Coturnix japonica: one gene and its partner. The protein of the gene in region 2 binds, or shares a complex with, the protein of the main gene of each other region. Links are inferred from orthologs where the notes say so. Each region holds a gene or a part of one and is shown on either strand. Other genes may lie near its edges.

The links. The genes of interacting proteins can lie anywhere in the genome.
Region 1: the proteins of BBS4 (region 2) and BBIP1 are in contact, whole or in part, in a cryo-EM structure (PDB 6VBV), measured with the Bos taurus proteins. The link is inferred for Coturnix japonica from reciprocal best matches to the Homo sapiens genes BBS4 and BBIP1. Residues at the interface, in NP_001069424.1 of Bos taurus: Leu210, Leu213, Tyr236, Leu240, Ala241, Ser244, Gln247, Thr248, Ser269, Pro271, Asn274, Asn275, Met278, Phe281, Gly282, Lys284, Tyr298, Leu299, Pro301, Leu302, Asp303, Trp304, Lys305, Ile306, Tyr308, Asn309, Leu312, Leu315, Thr316, Gln318; in XP_003587939.1 of Bos taurus: Met7, Phe8, Arg9, Glu10, Val11, Leu12, Pro13, Lys14, Gln15, Gly16, Gln17, Leu18, Tyr19, Val20, Glu21, Asp22, Leu28, Lys30, Pro31.

Annotation. Positions count from the first base shown.
Region 1 is NC_029521.1:23,095,871-23,101,475, forward strand, and holds BBIP1 (BBSome-interacting protein 1), read right to left. Parts: upstream 3,550-5,605; 5' UTR 3,523-3,549; coding exon 3,450-3,522; intron 3,373-3,449; coding exon 3,203-3,372; 3' UTR 3,191-3,202; intron 2,810-3,190; exon of another isoform or gene 2,112-2,809; coding exon of another isoform or gene 2,051-2,111; exon of another isoform or gene 1,955-2,050; intron 1,790-1,954; exon of another isoform or gene 1,580-1,789; intron 1,334-1,579; 3' UTR 1,054-1,333; coding exon of another isoform or gene 914-1,053; 3' UTR 853-913; downstream 1-852. Other genes in the region: PDCD4 (programmed cell death protein 4), read left to right, coding at 352-462, 914-1,053, 2,051-2,111.
Region 2 is NC_029525.1:1,095,126-1,099,520, forward strand, and holds the end of BBS4 (Bardet-Biedl syndrome 4 protein), read left to right. Parts: intron 1-426; coding exon 427-568; intron 569-930; coding exon 931-1,141; intron 1,142-2,045; coding exon 2,046-2,197; 3' UTR 2,198-2,885; downstream 2,886-4,395.

The DNA of each region.
Region 1 (5,605 bases), on a different chromosome or scaffold from region 2:
GCTGTATCTAGTAGGCAGTTTTGGTTTGCACTTGAAATGGTTGGATACAAAATTAATTGCCATCTGTGCTGCAGCAACCATGCAGATCCAGTTATGTATCCCTCCAACAAGGCAGTGTTCTTTACTCTGCCCAGTCCTTCCTCTTTTCTCATACCTTTCAGCTTTATGCCAATAACTTTTTATCAGGCTTTGCTTTCCTTTCAAATAACAATATTCTGGAATTGGAACTGCTTGTAGCAAATGGACTTGTCTCCCCAGAAATACATTCACTCTTTTTTTGCACTTTGATACACAACCTGCACTCAAACCACTGTTTTCCTTTAATTAAAAGCCTTGCATGGTTTGTTTTAGGCAATCGTGATGGTTTTGGAGTCTACTGGAGAAAAGACCTTTAAAATGATGCTGGATTTGCTGAAATCTCTCTCGAGGTCTTCTGTCATTACTATGGACCAAATGAAAAGAGTAAGTATGGCATTGAAAGAATGCTGGGTAAGATTTTCAAGTAGCTTCTATCTTCTTTTAAGTACTGGTTGTAATTTATTGCATCTCTCCTTGAGATCTGTGGCCTGCCCTCTATCTACAGGGCAGAGCAATTAATCCTTCTTCCTTGTGTTACTGGCAGCTGGGCTGTCGTATACATTCTGTACTGCCTGGATTTCTGACTTTAAGAAGCTAAAATGCTCAGCCAGTGTGTTCATATAGATGTGTTGTTGTGCAACACCAGCTCTTGGAACTGGCTGGTATTAGTGGCAAAGCAAGGTATAATTTGCAGGTGTTTTGCTTTCAGTTGATTGAAACAGCTTAAAGAATACATGAAACTGCATTCAAAAAGCCATCATCTGAGTGCAAAAAGATGGTTAAAAAATTGTAATTTTAGAACAACCAAATAATTATTTGCTTTCTTAAACTACAGGGCTACGAACGAGTTTACTGTGAAATACCAGATATTAACCTGGATGTGCCACACTCCTATTCTGTGCTCGAGCGGTTTGTGGAGGAATGTTTTCAGGCTGGAATCATCTCCAAACCACTGAGAGACCTTTGTCCTTCCAGGTACTTGTTTTATTACAGAGAGGTGCTGGAGCTCAGTTTGGAAGCAGGATCTTATAACCTGGGTGTGACGGGTTGGTACAGAGACCAGGGGAGATGGAGGAACAAAGAGAACAGGGTTGATACATATGTGAGGGAAGGAAGCTGCTGTTGGAATCCCTGGCAGCGTGTCTGACTGCTGCAGCACATGAAGGCCTGCATCTCCTCTCAGTTTTGCTCACTTGGCAGAGATCAGCGCAGTGCTGAGATGGAAGATCCAGGAGTTTTAATGATGCAGACAAACCTGGAGGGGAAAAAAGAACATGTTTTAAAGCAGTTTAAACATTGTAAACTGAATTAATAAGAGTTCTGGGATTAGACACCAATTCTCATGGTTTTTGTCAGAAAGCAACCAGGCATTTCTGTGGCAAAAGCTCTACATACACTAAAAAAGGCAACTGTGAGATACATCCAATATTGTAGAGTTTTCTGCTTTATTATTGCTTAACTGTAGCTTCTCGGTATTCTGTATTATTGGTCAGAATACAACCTTTAAGTTTGATGTGTAAATGTCGATGTTAAAACTATCCATGATATTCTGCACCAGAAATGCTGTCTGTTCAATATCTTCCAGTTTGAATCTCGACATCAGCTTGCACTGAGGGTTCGGTAGGGCCGAAAGTCATTGCTGCAACAAAAGCTTCATGATGCTTCAGCTCTCAGGAATATACAGACAGGAGTTTTGAGCTTGTGTTTCAGTCTGGGGTAGAAAAATGTCATTTGTAGGGTTTCAAGCGAGCAGCTTTTGGAAGCACAGATGGTAATGTTCAGTGTTAAAGGGACAGGAGAAATCTGAAGAGCTTCTTGAGAATAACATAGTGTAGGATTCTTTATCTGATTCATCATTTTGCTCAGTCTCACACACCTCACATTTAACTCGAGACCAAGAGAAGATTCTTCCCACTGACAGAAGTGATGCTACCACAGACTTGCTGATAATAGACTTTGTGTTGTTTTCCAGGGGCAGGAAGCGCTTTGTGAGTGAAGGAGATGGAGGCCGGCTGAAACTAGAAAGCTACTGAATGTCGGAACCAACTGCTGAAGCCTTAGAAGTTGAAAGGGAAAGAGACAAAAGAGAGGCATCTATATAGATATATACAGACACACAGGCCTTTTTTGGTCCGTGTGCCTGTATATACGTATATGCATGTATTGTATACCAAATTTCTACGAGTTGCTTAGCACAGTTGCTATATTTTTAAGAGCACGTGTTTTGGGTACAGATCAGTTGGTTTTTTTTTTTTTTGTTTTTGTTTTTTTTTTAAGAGTTTTATAGATTTCAGAAAGAAAAGTTCTTTCTTTGGGCATCCAAACAGACCAACTGGCCGCTCCGTTGTGGCGGTGCCTTCAGATAAGCTACCTTTTATAAGTGCCATAAGTGATCATTCCATGTTTGCATCCACGTCTGACTGCCGCTGTTTCTTTCAAGGACAGTGTTTTCAATGGGAAATAAATCCCTGATCTGTACAGAGCTTTCTAGCAGGGGCTCAGGTTGAGCTGCTCTCATCCCCTCAGTTGCTGCTGATGAAATACTGTGCGTTGGGAGGGAAAATAGCTGTTTCTTTGTCTTAAAGAGCCCAAGAAGAGCGCGCTGGCTCATTGGCCAAATTCACCTGTTCCACTGGTCAGTTTGAGATGTTCCAGCCAGCACGTACCAAACCGCTCCTTTTTTTCTATGTAACTGGAAAAGTGAAAAATTCTGGTAAAAAAAAAAAAAAAAGCATATTAAAAATATTTTTTTGTGAAGCTGTCCTGCCTGTCTTTTGCCTTCTACGCTCTTCCAGTGTCTGAAGCACGAGCACTGTGCAGCACTTGGTACCAACACAGAATCACAGAGTGACCCGGGTTGGAAGGGACCTCAAGGATCATGTAGTTCCAACCCCCTGCCTGGCAGGGCCACCAAACATACACCTTTATAGATCAGGTTGCCCTTCGGTGTTACAAGAGCAGTAATAGATGACAGACAAGGTGTGACCCACACGGTGTGAGTGCAGCTGCCGGCTCCACACTCGCTCACCCAACGTTCATGCCGTTCCTAATAGCACACAGGGCCGTGCCCGCTGCTCGCCTCTCCCTGCCGTCCCCCCGCTCCCTGCCGTACCTGTTACTCCGCTTATGGCCGCGGTTGGGAGCCCGCAGAGCCCTCGGGCGGCCGCGACGCTTCCATCGCCTCCATCGCTGCGCGCTGCAGCTGCTCCAGCTTCTCCAGCGACACCGACTTGAGGGGCAGCACTTTGGGCTTGCACAGCACCATGCCGGCCGTGTCCTCCGCCGCCAGCTGCCCTGCGGAGCACACACACACCGCACACATCAGCCGGCTGCAGGCATTGCCCGTGTCCCCGTCCCACCCCCGGCCGGACCTTGTTTGGGCAGCACCTCCCGGATCGTTCCCTTCCCCTCCGGCATGATGGCGCCGTCTGACCGCACACGCATGCGCGGGTCTAACCGGATACACAGCAATAAAGCTCTTAACAGCTTCTCATCATCGCCCTGTGCTGGCTGTGTGCTTCCCTCTGCTGTCTGCTATGGAATCTTAAAGCATTCTATGTTAAGACCTGGGATAAACCTTCAACTTCCAGTAAGCAGCATCTCCCTGACAGTTATTTAAAGCCTGTCTGCATTGTTCCAGAGTTATTTCCTTTTTCCTCTGAGGCAACCTACAGTAGGAAGCTGTCGGTCCCTCAGGTAGCCCGCTTCCACTTCACTTGAAGTCCTGCCTGCTCGGTGCGTTGGGGGCCAGCAGAACAACCTGCACAGGCTGAAAATGGGTCCCTGACTTCCTGCCTTTTGTGCAGTGGGCCAAAGATAACACTGTGGGTTTGGTTTCTGACAGCCCAGGAGTGGGGCTGTTTCTGCTGTGATTCATGTGTTCCACTTGCGGGTCAAAAGATTGGCATTAGTGAGCCTATAAAATGAACACGCTTGCTTTGGACATCCTTCGGTACCCTTTGAAGTGCACAGAAGTGTTCTCGCTGATTTCAGTGGGAAAAGCAGACTCTTTGGTGCCAATTAGTTTTTCCTCCTGATTGGAAAGGAAAGGACAAGGGGCTGGGGTCTGGTTTATGAAGACTGAATGTTTGTGGACAGAGACGTCCCATTGCATACAAATAGCAGATCAGTGATTTGGTATTTTGTTTTAATGACCCATCTTACATCTTAACTCTGGCTAAAAGCGAATGGAAATGACAGCCTGTTATGAACGAATATTGTGCGCTGTGAAACCAACAGTTACTCCTGTGGTAACAAATACGGCCTGTGGAGAAACCAAATGATGTGAAAGCAAGACGTGGAAGCCAAACTATGGGGTAGGTTTTTTGACCTTGTGGGTGACCAGGAGGATCGGCATTTGTAGCAACCAGAGCCCATCTCAGTCATGCAGGGAGTCGCTTTGTTAATGCAGTTTTCCTGCCGACGAGGTTTGTTTGCTTGGTGATAAGAAACAATGGTCAACTCGATGTGCTACTTAGGCATTTTAGTGCTTGAGAAGAGGAATCTAGATTTGTGCTAAACCTGTTTTCTTAGTCAAACGCCAGCTTGGCAGCCTATCTGGAAAGCTGGTAGCACCGAGACAGAGTGATTATGATGATTGTTCTCAGCCTCCCTGGTAAGTCTGCTTTTAAGAAACTTCTTTCTGTCAAGGAAAACACGGTTCTTGTCTACAGGATTGAAAAGGCTGCATGAGAGAGGCACGGCATTGCCAGGTGCTCAGGGTCATACTTTTCAAGGTGCCTGAAAAGCAGTGATGGTTCTGGCTTTGAGTAAGATTAATGTTCATTCACTAGAGTGATATTAGCTGCAGTTAAGGAGGGGAAAGCATGGCACAGAGGAACAACAACAGAAGTTGTGAGTTTTCCAGTTATATATGGAGACTCAGTTTTTGTTCTGCTAAGGAGAGCATAGTTAGATTGGTTTGGGTTTGTTTTTTTCCATTTCCTGCACCTGGGGGTTGTTGTTCTGTAATACACTCTCGTTTTGTTATGGTAGCAAGACACGCACTTGCAGTGGGACGGCACTATAGGTGTGTGGCTTTTTGTGGCACCCAAGTCTGAAGCTGTGCCCTCACTGTGTGCTGAGCCTTGGGGTTGTTGATTCCCACAGGGTGAAGCCAGTTAGTCACTTGGTCTGACATGGGTGAGCAGGCTCCGAGAGAGAGACAACGCACTCCAGGTTCCATCCTTATTTTACTGGTGTTGCAAACAAGTTATTCTTGTACTCTGCAGAAAGCCTCACGACCACAAAACCAGCAATAATTGGATAAATGATAAGCTTGTTTTCCTCCTCCTCTTCCCAGATATTCTGAGTGTGACAGACAGCAGAGATGTAATACACATCTCTGGAATCCAGAGTTTCATAACGTGGCAGCCGCTTGCTGCATATGCCACTGCATACATAAAACAGTATTTATTTTAAGTATTGAGAAACATTCTCTCTAAGTAGAAGAAAAAAGCGTTCAGGTGAAGCCAGTCCCATTTGTTTACAGGTCTTGGGTTTTGTCTTCATACATTTTAAATGCTTT
Region 2 (4,395 bases):
AAAGCGTCCCTTAGTCCCCTGTGTGCAGGGATACACGTCTGCGCCTCGGTCTGGCCACGGGCGGCCTCTGCTTTTCCAGGGCTGAGCCTGGGTGAGAAAGCAGGAGCTCCTGGGGCAGGGCCTGCGCCCACCTTGCATTTTACTTTGGCAGACAGTACCTGTGCGTTTTGTTTCTCTGAATGTTCCCCTACGGCACCACACACACATATGGTTTTACTGGGGGAGGGAGCGAGAAGAGGCAGGGGAAATGAATTGCAACGTGTGTTCTGTAGTGTGTCAGCCTGTAAAATACCATCAGTGAGGTGCTGCCGCTGGCCTGACCCACCTGGAGCGCTCTCCTACCAACTGTCAGAGCTGCGGGGAACTGAGGTAATCAGCACAGAGATCACCCCCATATTGAACACATACATCCTGTATTTACTGCAGGTGCAATCCCCTTCTCAACCTGAACTATGCTGTGCTGCTGTATAACCACGGGGACAAGAAGGGGGCCCTCTGCCAGTACCAGGAGATGGAGAGGAAGGTCACTGCACTGAAGGAGAGCAACAGTCTTGATTTTGACCCCGAGGTATGTGCTTAAGAGTTGTCAGCAGGAACTAAATAGCCACATTAAGGCTGGCAACAAACAAGGGGGAAGTTTGACTTCTGAGTCCAATTATTAGGAAGAATTCTGCTTATGAGATTTTCTAAGTAGAGCAGTCACCTGCTGCGAGCTGTGTGCTTCATTTCTGCTCTTTGAAGCCCAGTTCTTCAATCAATATGCAGCAAGACAAGATTCCCTCTTAATTAAGGGAATGAATTAGCGGAGATGTTTCCCTCAAGCACCAAGGCAGTTAGCAGCCCTGCACACAGCTCTTTTTCTCTGTTGACTTCGTTGTTGTCTGAAGTGTCGCTGTCTATGAGAGTCTTCTCTATTTGTTTCTTGAGAAGATGGTGGAGGTTGCCCAGAAGATGGGAACTGCCCTGCAGGTCGGAGAGAGCCAAGTCTGGACGAAACCTGCTAAGGAGTCTAAATCCAAGCAGCGAAGCACACCATCAGGGAAGTCTGCCAACACGCAGCAGCCGTTGGGCTCCAACCAGGCCTTGGGTCAAGCCATGTCCTCAGCTGCCAGCTATGGGAAAAGCATGCAACTTCCACCAGGTACCTCTCTTTTGCATCTCTGTGAAGTGAAACCATGGGAAGGGAGAAGAGAAGAGAAACCTCCCTCACTTTGAGTATGGCATATGTTTAGGGAGGTATTTACTTGCTTACACAGAGCTCCTTTCAGCCTTATAAGGCTTAGGCTTATAGCTGTACATGCTGCAGCTTGCTATGTGGGAGCATCTCCTGAGCCATTGCTTGCAGCCTGACCTCCTCTCACCCCTCAGCTTCCCAGGAGCAAAGCACTAGAGATGCTGCTCAGCACAGCGATGTTCTGTCACTGTATGTTTTGTTTCCTGTGGGTTGGCACAGAAGGAAGGTTGTGTAATCCAGGCCATTTCTGTGGCACCCCTAAGGACCTGCTCCATTTCTCACGACAGCTGAAAAATAAAAGCACACGGGAGTTGAGGCGTTAGCTGAAAGGCCTTGTCATCCACATCAGCAAACCTGGCTCGTAAGATTAGCTGTCAGCTTAAATGTAAGCCTAGAAACAGCTTCAGCGTGGCAGTGTCCTGTTTTGATTTAGTTCTGTAAGTTGCTGTTAACCACGGGGAAGCTCTCTCTGAGACCTCTAAAACTGTGAGCTGAGAACTGCACTGTGGTTTTGGTTACAGTCTGAGTACAAACCAGACGCAGTGGAACTACTTTCCAAAGCTCGAGTTTCTTCTCGCAGCAGCCCAGCTGAACAAGAGACTGCCTTAGCTTCTCTTCAGCAGAGCTCCAAGTGCTGTCATGTCTCTGGCTAGGTAATTTGCAGAAAAGTTGAGTGCTGTTATTAAGTTTCATGCTAGGCAGAAGAAATCAGAAAAAAGAAGAGCTGTGGTCAATTTGTGTCTCTGTGTTGCTTGGGGGTGCTGAAGAAGACACAGAGTGTATGCAGTCATCCTGTAACTTCTCTCCCCAGGTGCCGGAGCATCAGCTTCCCTTGCAAAGCCTCCCTCGCTGCCCCTGGAACCAGAGCCAGGCTCAGAGCTGAGCCCAGAGGAGACCTCAGCGCCAGCAGAGGCCGAGGAGCAGCGGCAGCAGAATCACAAGAGTCGTCAGGCAGCAGAATAGGATGGGCTCGAGGCAGTGGGGGCAGGCGTGGGAAATTCCAGTGCTGCCTGACCTGTGGGGCAGGGGACCTGTCCTCCTGACCCGGAGAGGCTTCACCCCGCTGTCAGTTAGTGTAGATGCGGCATTTCTGTCAGTGATTTTAGCGTGAGGTCTCTGCCTTGTCCCAGGAGTCACGGCAGCAGTCAGAAGAGGACGCTTCATAGTTACTGTGAGTGCAGTCACACCTCACTTCCTCAGTTGGGAGGACGGCGGCTCTGCAGGGAGAGTGCAGCAGCACAGAAGGCAGCCAGCCCTACATTCCAAATTCTTTGCTGAGAAACAGGGTGAATGAGGCTCAGCAGAGCCCCGTGCTCCTGTGATTCGAGTTCTTCCTTTAGAATTAGTATTGCCCAACGTGGGGGAAAGGTTGGTTTGCAGGGAAGAAATGAAGATCTTTTCTGAGAAGCCTTGCCATGCTCAGCTTCAGTGCTGAATTTGTTTTAGTAAAGCAGCAGCCACGTTCTGAAGGACAGAGTTATGGCCTCTTGTGAGAGACTTTGAGGAGATTCAGTTCTGCGAGCTGCAAGAAGGCAAAGCGGCCCCATGGTGAGCAGAGCAAAGAATCTTAATGCCCCTGTGCTACTGAGATGTTTGGGAAGTGTTTGTATCCTCAAAGATTAAAATCTGAGCCTTCCTTTCTCCGCTCCTGTCAGTTTTCTTGCATTTGGATTTATCCAGAGCGTGATGCAGGCCTTCAAAACAACTGTGCTGGGGAACTAAGCTGGGCCCGTCATGCTTTACATAAGGAACCAGTAACTGGGTTAAGTAAGCGTGGTTTTCACCCTCTGCATACAGAGAACTGTGCTGCTGTGGGACTTGGGATTTCACTTTTCCAAGCAGTTCAGCACTTTCTGCCCAAAGAAGCTGTATCTTCAGGAGGGCTCAGCTCATCTGCTAATTAGGCTGATGAGCTTTTAAAAATACAGCTTCTGTTTCATAATCAACACGTGCGGTGGGATGAGGTTTGTGATGGAAAGCTCTCTGCAGCAGCCTGTAAAACAGCATGACCCTGGATAAGTTAACATCCTCCAGCAGTGCTTTCTGGCTGGCTGCTTTTACCCAGAGCAATGGTAGTGTGTTTTTGGGGTGCAGCAGGGACCCGAAGTGCTGCCCTGCCCCCCAGGGGCCACTAAAAGTGGGATCCCTTTGCTTTGTTTTGACTGACAGAACTGCCTGCTCACCTCAAATGTGGCTTTTTGTTTCATCCATCCTCTGCTGGTTGGTTCTCTGTCAGTCCATCCCTGCAGCAGCACTCCTGTAATGCTTTCCTTGTGCTAGGAGCAAAAGGAAACAGAGGTTTTGTGCAGCAGCCGCCAGTTGAAACAAACCAGACAAACTGCAGTGTAATTTAGGTACAATGCGGCCTTTTTATTTGCTTTTAACTTTTTATTCTGCAGATTACTGCAGTGTAAGGGGAGGCCAAGAGTGTGGAGCAGGGGTGGGCTGGGAATGCTCTCTAGCCCCTAAAACCTTTGTTCAGTTTGTATTTTTCTGTACCCATTGCTTGTCATTGTTTGGGCTCACTGTAATGTGTGTCAGGTTTGGGAAGTTCCAGTACAAGGAGCAGCGGGCGGAACAGAGCGGTCACAGCATTGCTGATACAGGCAGCTTTACCCTCCAGATATTTGTTGTAAGCAGGGTAAGGTAACTTCAGGACTGAGGCATTAAGGAACTGCTGTGTGGGAGCAGCCTCATCCCACAGGTGGCTGTGGGAACCAGGACCACTGCTTTCAGAGTATGGCCTCCATGTGAGGCTCTTTGCTCACCCGGCCCCACCTGTACCAACTGTTCCCTTTAGGCTGCTGGGAGCTCTTTCAGGGCAGGTGCTATGCATTACTCCATGGGCTCTGCTGCTTAGGGAGGCACAGTAAAGGTGTTCAAAATGTTCCTTCAAAGGTACAAAGCTTTATGCAGCTGATTAACTCTTCTGTGAAAAAGAACAGTAGCACCATGGTACTCTTTGGATTTGAAGGGAGCAAAAGGGAGCGTCATGTCTGAGGAAGTGTTTTTAAATATGTAATTATGTTGGATAATAAATATGACTGCAGTCCCTTGTGCTGTCCCCTCTCCTCCTCCTGGGGGCTGTGGTGGCATTATTTGCACACAGAAAAGTCATGGTGTATTTATAGAGGCTTTCTGTGCTACCTGGAGGAACAGTC